Caenorhabditis elegans: one gene and its partners. The protein of the gene in region 1 interacts with the protein of each later gene in a pairwise test. Each region holds a gene or a part of one and is shown in the gene's direction. Other genes may lie near its edges.

What was found. The genes of interacting proteins can lie anywhere in the genome.
Region 2: the proteins of scyl-1 (region 1) and gst-30 interact in a two-hybrid assay, tested with the Caenorhabditis elegans proteins (one large-scale study listed by BioGRID).
Region 3: the proteins of scyl-1 (region 1) and xpo-7 interact in a two-hybrid assay, tested with the Caenorhabditis elegans proteins (one large-scale study listed by BioGRID).

What each region holds. Positions count from the first base shown.
Region 1 is NC_003283.11:13,036,390-13,043,713, reverse strand, and holds scyl-1 (Protein kinase domain-containing protein), read left to right. Parts: upstream 1-1,992; coding exon 1,993-2,112; intron 2,113-2,165; coding exon 2,166-2,288; intron 2,289-2,333; coding exon 2,334-2,456; intron 2,457-2,505; coding exon 2,506-2,803; intron 2,804-2,852; coding exon 2,853-3,246; intron 3,247-3,298; coding exon 3,299-3,969; intron 3,970-4,017; coding exon 4,018-4,205; intron 4,206-4,252; coding exon 4,253-4,517; intron 4,518-4,623; coding exon 4,624-4,773; intron 4,774-4,827; coding exon 4,828-4,958; 3' UTR 4,959-6,820; downstream 6,821-7,324. Other genes in the region: W07G4.2 (L-Fucosyltransferase), read left to right, coding at 7,148-7,232, 7,277-7,322.
Region 2 is NC_003280.10:4,933,373-4,936,605, reverse strand, and holds gst-30 (glutathione transferase), read left to right. Parts: upstream 1-1,551; 5' UTR 1,552-1,589; coding exon 1,590-1,722; intron 1,723-2,160; coding exon 2,161-2,669; 3' UTR 2,670-2,723; downstream 2,724-3,233. Other genes in the region: ZK546.5 (C2H2-type domain-containing protein), read right to left, coding at 1-116, 171-264, 319-519, 579-655, 707-788; msp-152 (Major sperm protein 152), read right to left, coding at 3,196-3,233.
Region 3 is NC_003283.11:10,521,484-10,527,710, reverse strand, and holds xpo-7 (Exportin-7), read left to right. Parts: upstream 1-1,802; 5' UTR 1,803-1,840; coding exon 1,841-1,855; intron 1,856-1,901; coding exon 1,902-2,039; intron 2,040-2,088; coding exon 2,089-2,916; intron 2,917-2,966; coding exon 2,967-3,428; intron 3,429-3,477; coding exon 3,478-4,132; intron 4,133-4,174; coding exon 4,175-4,242; intron 4,243-4,287; coding exon 4,288-4,376; intron 4,377-4,427; coding exon 4,428-4,833; intron 4,834-4,883; coding exon 4,884-5,186; intron 5,187-5,233; coding exon 5,234-5,560; 3' UTR 5,561-5,717; downstream 5,718-6,227. Other genes in the region: hda-11 (Histone deacetylase 11), read right to left, coding at 473-585, 652-743, 790-900, 1,098-1,322, 1,391-1,401.

The sequences.
Region 1 (7,324 bases):
CCCTGAAAGCGATATAAATAAAATGAGAAATATGAAGGCGGGAAGAAGGAGGATATATAAGAAATTGAGTTTCAAGGTTTGAAGAGAAGTGGTTATGAAGTTTGTAGGAGCAAAAGAGATGGCAGGCTAGTTCTTTTCGATAAAGCCATAAATAGAAAATACTGCGCTCATTGAACGAAAAGAGTTCAATTCAGTCATGTGCACGCAATTCTGGAATAAAAATCATTAAATGAAAAACGATGTGCGTCTTTAATTAACGCTTATCAGTAGCATATGTTGAAACAAGGAAAAGGAGGGACACATCTGCGATGTCATCTACTCTCTCAGCTGGCTGACTGACAGGCTGATAAACGCCGTCAAGTCGGCTGTCTGCTAATTTGATTTATAATTTATTGCGTGTTTGTACAAGCATGGGAGAGCACTGAAATCACCGGCAGACACTGAAACTTTTGGAGCGACTAGTCGCTATAAATGATAGAAAGTGGGCGGAGATTCGGAGAAAATGAAATTGACGTAGGTTTCCTGATGGCGCCAAATTTCGAGACTTTTCCAGAGGAAATTAGAGAAATATGTGACTTATAATTAGATTTCAAGGAAAACCTGAGCACACGTCATGAAAATAATGATATTAGAACTTATTTAAATAAACGTCGAGGTCGATGTCGAAATTTTTATTTTGCGGAAGAATCAGAGAATGGTCTCACAGTAAAATGATCAGAAATTTGAGCGCAAAAAGATTGCAAAGCATACAAAATTGACAAAAAAACCTATTCTGTAACAATGCGTTCTTTTGTAATTATAGAAACGGATACATTGAATTTTGTTCTTTTGATAGAAACGGAAACAATTAATTTTCGCGAACGTTTCGCAGCAAACATCACATGACAACAAATCGATTTCCATTTTCCGCTTAGAAATCTCGAAAAAAGCAGTATTGGTCGAGTGAGTTTTCGGGCTGTCTATTGATAAACACTGACCCGTTTATACACATTTTAGCGGAAGACTGGTTGACGTTCTGGTCTTTTTCTATAAAATGAGTATGGGAAAAAATTCCGCAAATTTTTTGAATTAGAAATGGGAATATGAAAGTTCGAAACTATAAATTTTCGAGCGCTTTGCATCATTCGACACCATAGGGCATGTTGGTTCAGGCCGGAGGCGATTAGGTCGTCAGTTTTCAGAGAAATGTGTTATCAGGTGTAAGACATACACACAAATATTCACACTTACACGCGGGGCTGTGCAGAACTTGATTTGCGAGCCAAAAAATGTTGTCATCACGGAATTTCCCACCTTTATCGCGTTTTCGAAGGTGTACTATTTTGTGACTGACATTCCAGAAGCATTATTGTGATCAAACGATCAAAAATAGAAGGAATTTAATATATACGAGGAGAAAAATCATTAAAAGATATGGAAAAAAAGGAAAAGTGCTGACTAAATAGTGAGAGCTAAAAAAATTATCGAAGAATTTTGAGCAAGGGTACTGTAGATTTTAAAGGCGCAGATGCGACCAAAGTGATGGGCATCGGCACGAGAAGTACAGTCACTGGTTTTTAAAATTCTTTTGAATCATTTTCGAATATATTTTTCTTTGTCTCTTTCAATGTTTTTCATTAAATACCAGATCATTTCTAGACATTCTGAAAAACTAAATGTAAACTGAAGCTCTAGTAATTTGATAAAACATTATTATGTTTCAGTTCTATCGCATTTCACTATTTTCGGTAAGATTTATATAAATTCATTGAGAAACCAGAGAAACTAGGAAAAACAAAGCCAAAATAAACGAGAATGAGTCTATTCTCATCTTTTAAAGTGAGTGAAAGAGAGACGAGACGCAGAGAAACTGCAATCGATGCGTCAGTAGTGACAATCTTGCCCCTTTTTCTATTAAATGTGTTCAAATTCGATTTCCACGTAACCCGACCGGTTTTCCAGCGTTTCAATTTTACGGAGAGATTATTTTATAAATTTCGATCACTTTTAGGGATGGCATCGGTGTTGTCATCCTTCTTCCAACGGGATCCGAAGTCCCAATTCCCATATGACATTCCTGGAGCAGAAGAACACTTTTTCGATCGAGTTTCGATCGGAAATAGCTTTAAGAAAGTGAGTTTTTGCATTTTTAGCTGTTCAATGAATATTTTCAATAAATATTGTAGGCTGAACCCGGTGAACTCGCAACAATCTTCTGGGACAACCGAAGTTCAACGTTAAAACAACAAGCACAAAAGCTGAAAACCATGCGCCATCCTAACATTATCACTTATTTAGATAGTATTGAAGTGGGTTTTCGCAATTTGATGACTTCACACGAACGGATTTTTCAGCTAGAAGGAACTTTCTACCTCGTCACGGAAAAATGTAAACCACTGGAGCTGTATTTAAAGGAAGCCGGTCTCACTGAAAGCCAAAAAGAATTTGTTGTTTCCTGGGGAATGTTTCAGTTATTAGTATGTTTTTTAATAGTTGTAAACTTACAAATAATCTATTTTTGTTCAGAACGCTCTAAAATTTATGCACGAAGCTAAACTAAGTCACGAAAATCTGCGTAAAGGAGTATTTGTAACAGCCGGAGGAGATTGGAAAATTGGTGGACTTCATTTGGTCACTGGATTCACTAGTCCACAGACAGATTTAAATCAATTAGCAATTGTTTTATGGGAAGTTTTCAATGGATTCAATGACGCTATCACAAGACCACAGGCTCCAGGGAAGATACCACAACGGATACACGAATTATACAAAAAAATTGGAGCACAATCAGCTGCACGACTTGCAGTTTGTGATATTATTAAAGATAATCCAAAATTAATTTTGTTGTTTTTATTCAGTTTCAAAGATTTCAGAATATCGACTCACTGGGGGATACTTGAAGAATAAATTCGTGGATACTCTACTTTTCCTGGAAGAATTCGAACTGAAGGAAGCTAGCGAAAAACAATCGTTCTTCATGCATCTTCGAGAAAATATTGATATCTTCCCAGAAGACGTAGCAAAATATAAAATTCTTCCAAAACTTATTCTTACCTATGAATATGGAGATGCAGGACCGAATATTTTAATTCCTCTGTTCAAACTTGGACGTCTTCTTGATGAAGCAGAATATCAGAGAACAATTGTTCCATGTTTGTGCAAACTTTTTGGCAGTCCAGATAGAACTACAAGAGTCAAGTTGTTAGAAAGAATCGATGAATTTGCACCTCATTTGACTCCACAAATTTTGAACGACAAAATATTTGGGTTAGATTTTTTCTCTGAAATCTGAAATTCTTATTTAAATGTTTAATTTCAGAAATTTAACATCTGGTTTCTTGGACACAAATCCAGCAGTTCGCGAAAGTACAGTCAAAGCAATGGTTTCATTGGCAGAGAAACTCAACTACAATAATTTAAATGTCGAATTGATGAAGTATCTTGCCCGTTTACAAGGAGGAGATGAGCATGGAGGTATTCGAACCAACACTACCATTTGCCTCGGGAAGATCGGACACCTGATTGCACCTGCTAAACGACAAGGAATATTAATAAGCGCATTTACTAGAGCTCTGAAGGATCCGTTTGCACCATCAAGAATGGCTTCAGTTCTAGCGCTTTCTGCAACTCAACAGTTCTATCCACTCGTTGAAATTTCCAACCGAATTGTTCCGAGTCTCATTCCGTTGACTTGTGATCCTGAAAAACAAGTTAGAGATCAAGCATTCAAGGCTATTCGTGGATTCCTTGAAAAACTTGAAAAAGCATCTGAAAATCCAGCTTGCATTCCTGAACTCGAAGCTGGAGTTAAAGCCGGAGCAAGTTCTATTCTGGACCACGAGAAAGTTCCACAATGGGCAAGTTGGGCTCTCAAGTCATTATCTGGAAAGTTTTATAAGGGACCACCTCCAGCAGAAGTCAAACCAGGAGCGCCAGCTACTGCTGATACTTCCTCAAGACCAGTAACACCTAACCCAACGGCGGAGAAAGGTTTGTTCTGCAATTTTTTCAATAAGTTGTTAATATTTTTATTTTCAGAAAAATCAAGCACAGTTCTCAAACCAACCCCTGCTAAACCTGCAACAAATGATGGTTGGGGAGATTTAACAGATGGAGGAGATATGTTCGCAGTGAAGGATTCAAATGATTCTGCTATTGATGATTGGGCTGATATCAACACGAAGTCTAATGATGCTGATGACTGGGGAGTTGGTTGGGATACTCCAGTAAGAATTAAGGTTTTATTTACTTAAACCATATTGTCTTATTTCAGATAGCAACTGCCACATCATCTCCCATTCCTGGAGTCAAAAAGTCATCATCTAGTTCGTCTGCAGCCGCGAAGAAGCCAACAATTGGACGATTAAACTTAGGATCGAATCTGGCAGGATCATCTGCTCAGAAACAAACCAAAAAAGCTATTGATGACAATATTGATGCACTTCTCGGAATATCAGCACCTCCAGCTGCGGGATCTTCAGTCAAGCCGAATTCGCTGAATGCTCTCATGAACAATTCTTCCTCTTCTACAAATACTGGTAAATATTATTTCCTTAGCATATGTTTTATTTTCTCACGTAGAATTTAGTTATGAAACTTGTTTGATCTTTTTTTAATGTTATCTGAAAACATGTATATTTTCAGGATGGGGATTCGATGATCCTTTACCAACAACTAATAATTCATCAGCTAACAAAGGATGGGACGATGATGGATGGGGTGATAACAGTATGTCAAGCAATGTGCTTCAGCCAACTGCAGTACTCCAACCAACGAAAATGAAGGATGATAAAGGTACGGTCACCGTTGTTGGAGAATAACAATCCGCTTGCATTTTTCATTTTCCAGATGCTCGTCGAGCCGAGATGCAGGCTAGAAATGAAGCTCGTCGCAAAGAACAAATGGATCGCAAAAAATCTGCCGGAGCAATGAAATTGGCATCTGTAGAAAAGAAAATGGACGATTTTGCTGACTGGTAACAAGAAACTCGCTTCGTTTTGTAGTAGAGATCACCCTACTTGTATTTCACATTTTTGTAATTAAAACTGTTTTATTCGACCCCATTTGTATCAAATCCTAACAAGGGAAGTCTTTGAGGAGGTCCGTAGATTTGGGGTTCTCATGCTAAAATTCCTACAGAAGAGTGTTAGTTATGATCTCTCCAAAAAATTTAGCTGCCCCGGTCAAGTTTCAGCAAAGTTATGACGTTTTGAAATTTCAGTTAAAAACACCATTGAAATCCACTGTCTTACCATGCAATCCACGCAAATCTCAGCTTGCGTGACCACCGAAAATGTGACACCCACCACATTGAGTTGAAAAATGTCCTCGGTGGCCGAGTTGGGAGTGCGCGCGTCTGATAAGATTTAGGCTTTGGTTCGATTCCTTCTATTTTTGAAATATTTTTGTAAGTTGAATAAAGTTTTAAACAACCTATTCAAACATTTTTGCGCCTTTTTAAAGTGATTTTATTCTTATTCGGGAACCTAGAATCATTGTCCGCACTTTTTGGAAATTTTTATTTTTTTCATTTTTGCTCAAAATTTCTTGATCAACTCCAAGCAAAAAAATCAAAAAATTTCATTTTTCTAAACAATTATGAAATTGCTATGTTGTTGTTCAGAAATGTATGAAACGTACATTACACAAGTTTTAACTCTCTATTCGCAAGTAAACCGTCGAAATGATCTACATCTCACGAACTTTGTGCAAAATATTTAACCAACTTTGAAGTTGCATAACTTCGTTGAGATAAATTATTGTGAAAAATGATCAACTAACAAAATGTTTGTTGAATAACAGTGAACAAAGTTTTAGTTATAAACTTTTTGATACCTTCAGCCACCAAAAAGTTGTGACCGTTTTCCAAAACACAATGTTAATAGAAAAACTAGCCAAATGCCAACCTTGTTTTCTTCTTTGTAGCTGGAGGTATCAAAAAGTTTATAACTAAAACTTTGTTCACTGTTATTCAACAAACATTTTGTTAGTTGATCATTTTTCACAATAATTTATCTCAATGAAGTTATGCAACTTCAAAGTTGGTTAAATATTTTGCACAAAGTTCGTGAGATGTAGATCATTTCGACGGTTTACTTGCGAATAGAGAGTTAAAACTTGTGTAATGTACGTTTCATACATTTCTGAACAACAACATAGCAATTTCATAATTGTTTAGAAAAATGAAATTTTTTGATTTTTTTGCTTGGAGTTGATCAAGAAATTTTGAGCAAAAATGAAAAAAATAAAAATTTCCAAAAAGTGCGGACAATGATTCTAGGTTCCCGAATAAGAATAAAATCACTTTAAAAATGCGCAAAAATGTTTGAATGAGTTGTTTTACAACTTTATTCAACTTACAAAAATAGAAGGAATCGAACCAAAGCTTAAATCTTATCAGACGCGCGCACTCCCAACTCGGCCACCGAGGACATTTTTCAACTCAATGTTGTGGGTGTCACATTTTCGGTGGTCACGCAAGCTGAGATTTGCGTGGACTGCATGGTAAGACAGTGGATTTCAATGGTGTTTTTAACTGAATTTTCAAAACGTCATAACTTTGCTGAAACTTGACCGGGGCAGCTAAATTTTTTGGAGAGATCATAACTAACACTCTTCTGTAGGAATTTTAGCATGAGAACCCCAAATCTACGGACCCCCTCAAAGACTTCCCTTGTAAGTACATCAAACAATTTCCTGTGATTCTATCCATTAACGTATTCTATTCATGTTTTTCTTTCTTTTTCTCATTTCCTTCGCTTCCAAACAAAAATTGCTCGCATTTCATGTTCTTTCTTTTCAAAAAAATTATGATGGTTAAAATAAAACTTTAAAAAATGTACACTTGGTTTTACTATTGAATCGTCGGACCCATGCTGTGTTGCTGTGGTGCAAAAGGTAATTTTTGACACTAACAAAAGTTTAGGCAAGTAGGTAGGCATGAGATAGGCTCGTAGGCAAATATGGGAAGGTACGTAGGCAGACTTGAGGTATGTTTGAAAACAAAATTACACTTGATGTTCTTTTGGGACAAAAATGTGCAGCCCATACATGTTGGACTCATGCTGTGATTCGATGTATTGGAAAGGGATCACATCAATTACGAAACATCGAAACATGCATTTTGTAACTACTCCTGTTTCATCTCTTCTTCTTTCAGCTTTACTAAATGACCGAAATTCAACCACCAACACCCTCACTTCTTACGAAAATGTTCAAAACTCGGTTATTTGTAATTTTTCTGATATTAACTGGTAGGGTAATAGGAACATTCAAAAGTTCAAACTTCCAATTACAGTAATAATTCTATCTACAAATGTTTGCAATAGAACTACGTTACCAATGT
Region 2 (3,233 bases), on another chromosome or scaffold:
GTCATTCTTTTTGTGTGCTCTTTGATGAGATTCCATGGCTGTTGGATGTGCTATGTTGACGAGCATATTACAGATTGTACAAGCTTCATATTGTTCTCCTCCTACAGTCGGCTGATCTTAAAATGTACATTTTATTATATATTTATTTATTTTTTTCTAATTTTACTTACTTCCAGCAAGAACAGCTTTTACAAGTTGATGTGCTCTTGCTTCGTGTCTCATTTTATCCATTGTTAGTCGATCGCGAGATCGGAGCCGTTCGAACTGAAATCTTTATTTTGTTTTAAAAAAAGTTACAATTTTCTAAATTTAAAATACCTCTCTTTTCTTCCATTCTCCACAAATTGTATTAATATCTAGCATGATATCGTCTAAATTCTGCAGGTGACACTCTCTTCCATGCTTTTCAAGTCCTGATGCAGTCAAAAAAATTTTCTCCTCACAAAATCGGCATGGATAAGATTCGACATCGTTAGCGATTCCTGGCAATTTCTTCGGTTTGAAGTTGGATGGGTGATTCTGAATATTAATAATTTTTCCTACAATAATTTAATACTTAAATTAAATAACAAATCTACCTCATTTACAGTCAATACTCCTGATTGTACTTCATATCCTTCTCGTTTAACTTTTTCACCTTCGTCGTCTCGAACATCTATAATGATTTGAATTATGACTTCTGCGACTAAAAACAATATTTTTATACCTTTCCGCGTATGTTTAAGCGCTACATTTTTTCGTATGATTCTTGGCGGTTTTCGTGGTCCTCCACCTATAATTGCAGCCATCTAAAAACAAAAAAGTTTACTAAATTGTAGAAAGTTAGAGGAATTAAAACTAAAAAATACATGGCAAAACCGATAAAAATTCAATAAATAAAATTTAATGTAAGTGCGCTCCATTGGATGCAAGCGAGAGAACGGAGACGCAGCGTTGGAGTCGACTTTGTGGGAAGGGCCACTAGACGAGTAAATTGGACCAAAAAGTATTAAAAATAATCGTATATTTTTTGTTCGGTAAGCAAAACTGTACGTACTCTTCATGTCTTCAGCTCTGAATTCCAATTTTGATGTAAATTATGAAAATAACAACAAATCCAAGACAATTGCGAGATCTACAGTACTCCTTTAAATCTAGTTGGTCGTTTCGAGACCGGGTACCGTATTTTTTCGTAAATTGCCAGGTAATTAGTGAAGAACGGAAATTTAAATTAATTTTTTTTATTAATTAAAGTTTACATTGTAATAGTCATTTTGTTAGATATGAACTGTTCTCAATTCTTCATTATTACACTAGTGTCTCAAATATGCTGACTATAAAAAAGAGCATTCTCAAATCACGTAAGACCAACAGAATCACACCTTAATATTAGCAAGGATGATAAATGTGGCAAGACGCGTCTCTAGTTTCCTCGATTTTCTCCCAATTCCAAGCAATTGTCATCATTTTGGCAACCTTTCTCGTACATTTTTAATGCCGCCTTACTTCGAAAAAAAAACACGATGAGAATGACAAACAAATTGAATGAAGGAGACAGTATAAAAGAGAATGTTTGAATTGGTCTTTCATCATTCGACTCCAAACACACTATGGTCCACTATAAACTTTCATATTTTCCAATTCGATTTGCTGGAGAAATTCCACGACAGATTCTGGCATATGCCGGGCAAAAGTTTGAGGATCACCGGATTCCACAGGCTGATTGGCCAGCTCTCAAGTCGAGTGAGTTTTTGAAACTTTTTTTTTCAAAATACTATTTATTCGTGATTAAAATGTTGTGCCGCTCTAACCGCTGTGGGCGTGGCGAGATCCACTTGATAAAATCTTGATTAGACCTGACACCAATATTCTGGGTCTTATTATAAATCATTGATTTTTGTTCACAAAAACTGACCTGAAAGCAATCTCAGAACTACCTTTTTTGGTTCAAAGTTCCCGTATAAATCTAACTTTTTTGTAGGGACCTATTTAGAAGGTGCTCTTTGAAATGAAATATGTATAGTTCCAAAATCGAGATATATGTTAAAGTATCTTCCATGTAATAGAATAACAAATACGATCACTTTTAATTGCGAGGCTGGCGGGATATTTGTGTACAGGTTTTTCTAATTTAATTTTTTTATGTCTAAAAATGTTGTATTGAATTTTCTATATTTCCAGCTATGCCGTTCGGAACTCTTCCTGTCCTTTATCAGGATGGGAAACCACTTGGACAATCCCATGCAATTTCTCGTTTTCTTGCTCGCCAATTTGGAATAAATGGAAGATGTCCATGGGAAGAAGCTCAAGTGAATGCAATTGCAGATCAATTCAAAGATTATCTCAATGACATCCGATCTTATAATCTCGTGAAAATGGGATTTGCACAAGGAGATGCCGATGCTCTTTACAAGGACACATTCCTTCCAAATTTCAAGAAAAACTACCAATTCTTCACCAATTTCCTTAAAGCCAGTGGATCTGGATTCTTGATCGGTGACTCTGTCACCTGGGTTGATCTGTTGATTGCTCAACATACATCAGATCTTCTCAGTGACAGTGGATCTGTGTTTGCTGCCAGTCAATCACTTCTAGACGAATTCCCAGAACTCAAGGCTCATCAAAAGAAGATTCATTCTATTCCAAATATCAAAAAATGGGTTGAGACTCGTCCAGTTACACCATTTTAATTCTAGGAACACTTTACCAACTTTTTTGTTGAAAATAAAGTAATTTCATGATTCAATACATCAAAACACTACATCGAAGTGCGGGAAGTAATTGAATCAAGAAAATTAATTGCAATTTAGTTTATTTCCTTAAAACGGCAACAATCTAAAAAAAGAATATTATTACAGAGACACTTAATAGAGTTATTGGGAATTTTGGCAATATTTTAGTATGCAGATACTGCAGAAATTTAAACCACTTTGCAATGCAAACAGAAACCAAAAATTCCAGGCTTCTTTTGGAATCATTTCGGCAGAACCTGCAGAAATGTTAAAGTTCGGTTTTTTTAAAAGAACTGATCGAAGAAACATTGCAGTGTCGAGCCAGCTAATCCAGAGGAAAATGCTCAAACTAGTGGAAAGGAAGCTCTTTTTTCGAGCATGACAATATTATCTCGTTTGAAAATCTCTGAAAATCTGTTCAAGTAAAAAAACAAAAAACGAACTATCAATGAAAATTTATTGAAATTTTGGAAGTTCACAGATCCTATGGGTTGTACTCAATTGGGAGGTTCTTACGACGGA
Region 3 (6,227 bases), 2.5 Mb from region 1:
ATTAATATCTAATATTTGAGAAATATCTTTACGGGCTAGACATATTTCATTCACGTTCCAAATGGTTTTCCAAAATGATACCGTAGTCTATAGAATTCTTAACGTAACTGTAAGGTAGCTAAAATTTGAGGACAATTCTAACTTTGAAAGCTCAGATATCGGCCATCTATGATTTTAGGCAAAATACTTCCTTCATGTGATGTCAGACTGTCTCATTGCGGTTTGATCTACAAAACATGCGGGACTTTTTCCCAGAAAAATTGTGACGTCAGCACGTTCTTAACCATTCCAAATCAAATGAGATGTCTGCGTCTCAACTCCCGCATTTTTCGAAGATCAAAGCGGAATGGGATTTTCTGACTACACGTGTTCCTTTGAGTTATATGCTGTCAAAGTTGAGCAGTGAAGGTGCCGCACGCATCAATAGAAAATATACGGTATTTTATATTCTTTCAAATGTTTTTTCCAGTACCTGATGAGCATCTAAATCTACAACAATCGCGTTGGCAATTGCCTTTTTGTCAAACAAATCGAAAATTGCCATGGTGATATCAGCGTAAAAACAGAATCCACCTCCGCCCGAATCTGAAATTATAGGCTGCTGTACAATCCCATAGCGTCTATTTTTCTTGCGGAATAACAAAAACATACGAGAAGCATGATGGAAACCACCACCCACGTTGATCGCCCAACCATGTTTTAGAGCCAAATTGGCAGCTAAAACTGTTCCACCGGCTTGTAAACTGGAAAACACAAATAAATGAATACAACAATTACTAGGAATGATACCGTAGTGGATGCAATAACTTGCTTTCAATAATGCACGGTGGAAGGCAACCGACAAATGGAATCTCGACGATTTGTGCTGCTTTAATAGGATTTCGAACACTTTTCAGATATCTAAAATAATATGAATAAATTTTTTTTATTAGTTGAAATTGTTGAACGCCTCATCTAACTTTTTTTTAGAATGTCAACTATAAACGTTATGAGCTTAATTATTTTCTTTCAATTTAAGTATGGGGCCATACAAACATGATTTTTTCATAAACCAATTCCACGATTCAATCACATTCACAACACTTTCATGTGCCTACTTTCTATCATGTACTCTAGTGAGTTCTTCAAATGTCGGTAGATTTGGCTCAACGAGTGTTTCATCAGTGATCAGATTCATTTCTTTCAAATGTGTAATGACTCTTCTCCATTTCGAAGAATCAAATGGATGTAAATGTTCGATTCCAAATGCAGTTACATTATATTCAGAATGATAGACAATTGGACGTTGATAACTTTTTAAACTAAAGATTTCATCTTTATCTCTGAAATTATTGATATTTTTGGCATTTCCAACTGCATGTTGTACTACAGATTAAATTTCAAAACTCACCGCTCTGCCATTCAAAATCTGCGTAGAATGAGTGGTTAGAGCGGATAAATAAAGAAGTAGTCGTAAAGATTCTGTTTTTCTTGTTTTTGTTATCAGAAAACAGATAACGAATTCTGAAAATAGTGGAAACTGCCAAAAGATGCCAATTGTGGCGAGAGAGCCTGTGGGATGTAGAGTAGGATGAGAAAGGATGGCCTAACTTTTTTATCGGCCATCCGCCGTGTACTTCACCAGGACAAGATGTTTCGTCTTTCAGAAACTCAAATCATCACCAAAGTTTGCAGTTTTTCGAAACAATTAACGGTGGGAAGACGCCGAATTAATTTTATCCGTTTTAAACATTCTTTTTGCTTTTCAAAACATTTTTCTCCTCTTTCTCAAGCTATAATTACTTCTGAATTGGATATTTTAGGAGTGAATCGCTGAACAGCGGATTCGAAGTCTTCAAAAATGGATGAATTACCGGTTAGCATTTTCAAAATTCTTAATGTGCATTCTAATCTTATTTTAGGTACTAAACAGTCTATGCAAAGATCTATATGAGAGTGTCGATCCGCAAGCCCGACACCGAGCCGAGAGTAACCTTGCGGAACTGTCAGAGTCACCCGAATGCCTTCAAAGATGCATGCTTCTCTTTGCACGAGGAGATGTAAGTCGAAATAATAAAAGTGTTAAACAATTTACATAATGATTTTCAGTACCCATACGGACCAATGGTAGCAAGCACCACACTAATGAAACTTCTCGGCGGAAAAACTAGCATCACTTCTGTTCAGAAGCTCGAGCTTGCAAAATATTTATTGGAAATGCTAGGTCAAGGTGCACCTCAATTTCCTCCATATCTCGTCACATCACTTTGCCAACTTTTTGCAAGACTCACGAAACAAGAATGGACGTATCAAAATCCCACAGAAAATCAAACAGAAGACACAAAAATTGAATATCCATTTCGTGATCCGGTTGATAGCCTTGTCAAAACAATCAACATGGATAATATCGAGGAAAGTATGCTGGCCGTGCAACTGTTAACCTTACTCGTTGCTGACATGAATTCAGCTTCGGGAATGGATTCAGTTAACAAACATCGCAAGAATCTTTCGCAGTTCAGGGACGATTTTTTATATGAGATTTTCTCGGTATCTCTGAATGTTTTGAACGATAATGTGGACAGAAATCTGAACGATCGCCAATTGGGTCTTCTTCACGCGGTTCTCAACTTGAATCTCCAATGTCTACTTTTTGATTATATAGGAAGTTTGACAGACGAAACAAGTGAAGACAACTGTAATGTGCAAATCCCAACAGCATGGAGAGCAAGTTTTACTGATGGAAAAATTGTACAGCTTATGTTCAAACTTTTAAATGTGCTTCCACAAGAATCAAGTGAAAAAGTGATGACAATAATAGCTCAATTGGCAAGTATTCGAAGAACGCTTTTCAATGGAACAGAGCGACAGGCTTACGTTCAAAAACTTGTTGAAGGAGTTGTCAGTGTAATTATGAACCCTGGGAAGCTTAGTGACCAGGTAAGAATAATGAAAAATTAAAGGCAAACATATTTATATACCTGATTTAGGCCGCATTCCACGAGTTTTGCCGTTTGATTGCTCGTCTGAAAACAAATTATCAGCTGTGCGAGCTCATCGCTGTTCCCTGCTACAGTCACATGCTAAGGTTACTCGCGGAATTCACTGTACAAAGCCTACGAATGATGGAGTTCTCAGCCAACAGTACATATTTTCTTATGACATTCTGGCAGAGAATGGTGACGTCTGTTCCATATGTTCGAAATAATGATGAGCATCTTCTCAACGTTTATTGTCCAGAAATCATGACAGCATTCGTCGAGAGTCGATTACAACACGTTGAGAGCATTGTCAGAGAAGGAGCTGAGAATCCATTAGATGATCAAGGAGCAACCCTTCAAGTTATGGAACATCTTGCGATTATATGTAGATGCGAATATGAAAACACATGTAAACTTCTCACTCAACACTTTGATCAAAATGCCAACATCTGGATGAATGGATCTGAAAATGTAAGACACTTAGTTGTTTTTTTTTGAAACTTATAATTTGTATTTACAGGATGCCAATACAGCGATTGCCGAAGGTCGTCTCGTTTGGTTGATTACATTGATCGGAACTGCTGTGTTCGGAAAGACGACAGCAACAAGCAGTGATGTTCACGATAAAATGGACGGAGAACTCATTGCCCGATGTATAACAGTTATGAGATTCAATGATAATCGGCTTCAGTTGTCAAATAATACAGTTCCACTGAAAGGAAATCTTCGACTGGAAGTTTCATTTATTCACATGCTTGAGCAATTCCGTCGTGCGTATATCATGGATCAAATCACTCGAGCCAGTGCAGTCTACGACACACTTGAAGCAGAACTGCGTATTACGGAAGAGTCTGACATGCTAGGTGTTATTGTACAAAAGATTCTCACAAATCTGAAATTCTGGCCGTCCAACTCTGATCTCTTGGATCTTTCCCTATCTTTGTTCAAGGATTTATCGCTTGGATATTCTGCAGTTCGAAAGTTATTCCGTTTACCAGAAGTTCAGCTTCTATTGAACAATCACACTGCCGATCATTTCATGTTTCTTGGTCCAAATATTGATTATCAAACAATGAAACAGCGAACGACGTTTTACGAAGCACTAACGCGTCTTTTAACAACGGATTATTCGGACGACGAGGAAATGCTTCAAAGATTCCTTCGTCCTCTTACAGGTAGATTCAATTCCAATTGATTTTCAAATGTACTTTTTTCAGATACAGTTGAAGGAATTTGCACTGTGATCCAGAATAATTGCCAAGGAGTTGAAGAAGAACAATTAAAGGTTATAAAAATGAACGTTTTCAAAACTAAAACAAACTTTTTACAGAAAATTATTACTGGACTGTGTCGAGATCTTCGAGGAGTGGCAATAGCATCAACAACGAAAACTATCTTCCAAATTCTATTCGAATGGATGTATGTTTTTCCTATAAATATTTATTATTTTTCAATTATTTTTCTTTCCAGGTACCCAGAAGTGTTCAATATTATGCAGTTCTCGGTAGAAAAATGGCCTGGATGTGCTGATGTCGTTACTCCAATTCTTCGACTTCTCTCCGAAATGGTTCAAAATCGACAGCAACGATTGAAATTCGAAATGAGTTCGTGCTCAGCTGTACTTCTTTTCAAAGAAACTTCAAAAATTGTTTCGATTTACGGAGAAAGGCTTCTTCAACTGCCAGAAGTATCGAAAGACAGAGTATACAAGGAAAGATACAAGAATATTGGAGTGATTTTTTTGATTCTCAAGAATGCGCTTATTGGAGCTTATGTACCTTTTGGAGTATTCCGACTCTATGGTGATTCCTGTCTTCAGGATGCGCTTACGACGTTTGTGAAGTTGTTCACAAGTATTCCCCAAGATGATTTCCACGTCAGTTCATATTACGACCTATGCTAAAATTAAATAATGCGTTCTTTCAGAGCTATACAAAGATAGCACAAAATCATTATAATCTTTTGGAGCACGTTGTTCAAGATAATATGCCGTTTGTGACGAATCTCTCGGTTGACGTGTTTTGTGCACTTCTTCGATCAATTCACTCGGGACTTAGTTCTGTGGATGCAATCGTGATAACATCAGCTTGTTCATCACTGGATACGATTCTCAACTATTTGTACCGTCGGCTGACAAGATCGACGCCACCAACGAATAAAGTCGGCATGGATCCAGAAGGTGACAATATTCTTATTGCAATCAAGCAACATCCTGACATTCTCGCAAAGGTAAAATAACTTTATCATAAATTGATTTACAGTCTTTTTTTTTCCAGATGCTTCAAGCTGTGATAACGTTGATGATGTTTGGAGAAGTGAAATGTCAATGGAGTCTTTCCCGTCCACTTCTCGGATTGATTCTTATCCAGGAAGACGTATACTCTGATATGAAGCGCGAGTTGACATCCCAACAAACATACGATCGTCAAGCAGATTTTGATATGCTTTTCACTCAACTGATGTCTAACGTGGAGATGAATTTGACAGTTAAAAATAAGGACACATTCACACAAAACCTCACTCGATTCCGTCGTGATATTGCTCTTGTGCTCAAAGGACAGGCTTTGCCTTCTTCATCTTCAGTAAATCAGGAGATGCAATAGATTTGCACTTTGTTTCATTTAATTTATGTACTATCGTTTTCTAGATATTCCCGTTATTCCTGTTCACGTATCATTTTCTGCCGTTTTTATAATATTAAAAGTGGAGTGTGTAAGCTTGGGGTTTTTGAATATCGAGAAATAAAAAAAAACTGTTCGATCAAAGTTTTTGAGTTTTTTTTCGTAGCTCCAACTCATCCTGAAGTGAAAATTCATGTGTGGTCTGGCAGTTGGCATGCGCTAGGCGAATTTTCCTTGGAAGCAGGCAGGCATGTAGGCGCCCTTATTGAAGCACTAGAACGTGAATTAAAAAAGAAACCATTTTATTTTAAATTGAAGCTCATAATTATAACGTGAAGCACCTTTCGTTTTTCTAAACTGAAATTTCAATATCGTGCATTATACACGTCTTCTTTCATTCAATTTTCTGATTTCGCTTTACATGGTGCCTGTTTCTCGTTCAATCTGTACTCCGTTTCATTGCCTTGCTTATTTTGTAGTTTTATCAGACCCCAAATCTCACGTAACGCTTTTCTTAATTGTGATGCATACATGTAGGTTTGACCTGAACTTTGCTTAGAATTAATTTACTATTTTCCTGAGCCCAATTCCCTTGTAATGTGTTTTGCCTCCGAATTTTCCTATCCCCTTGAACTCGTGTTTTTGTCAG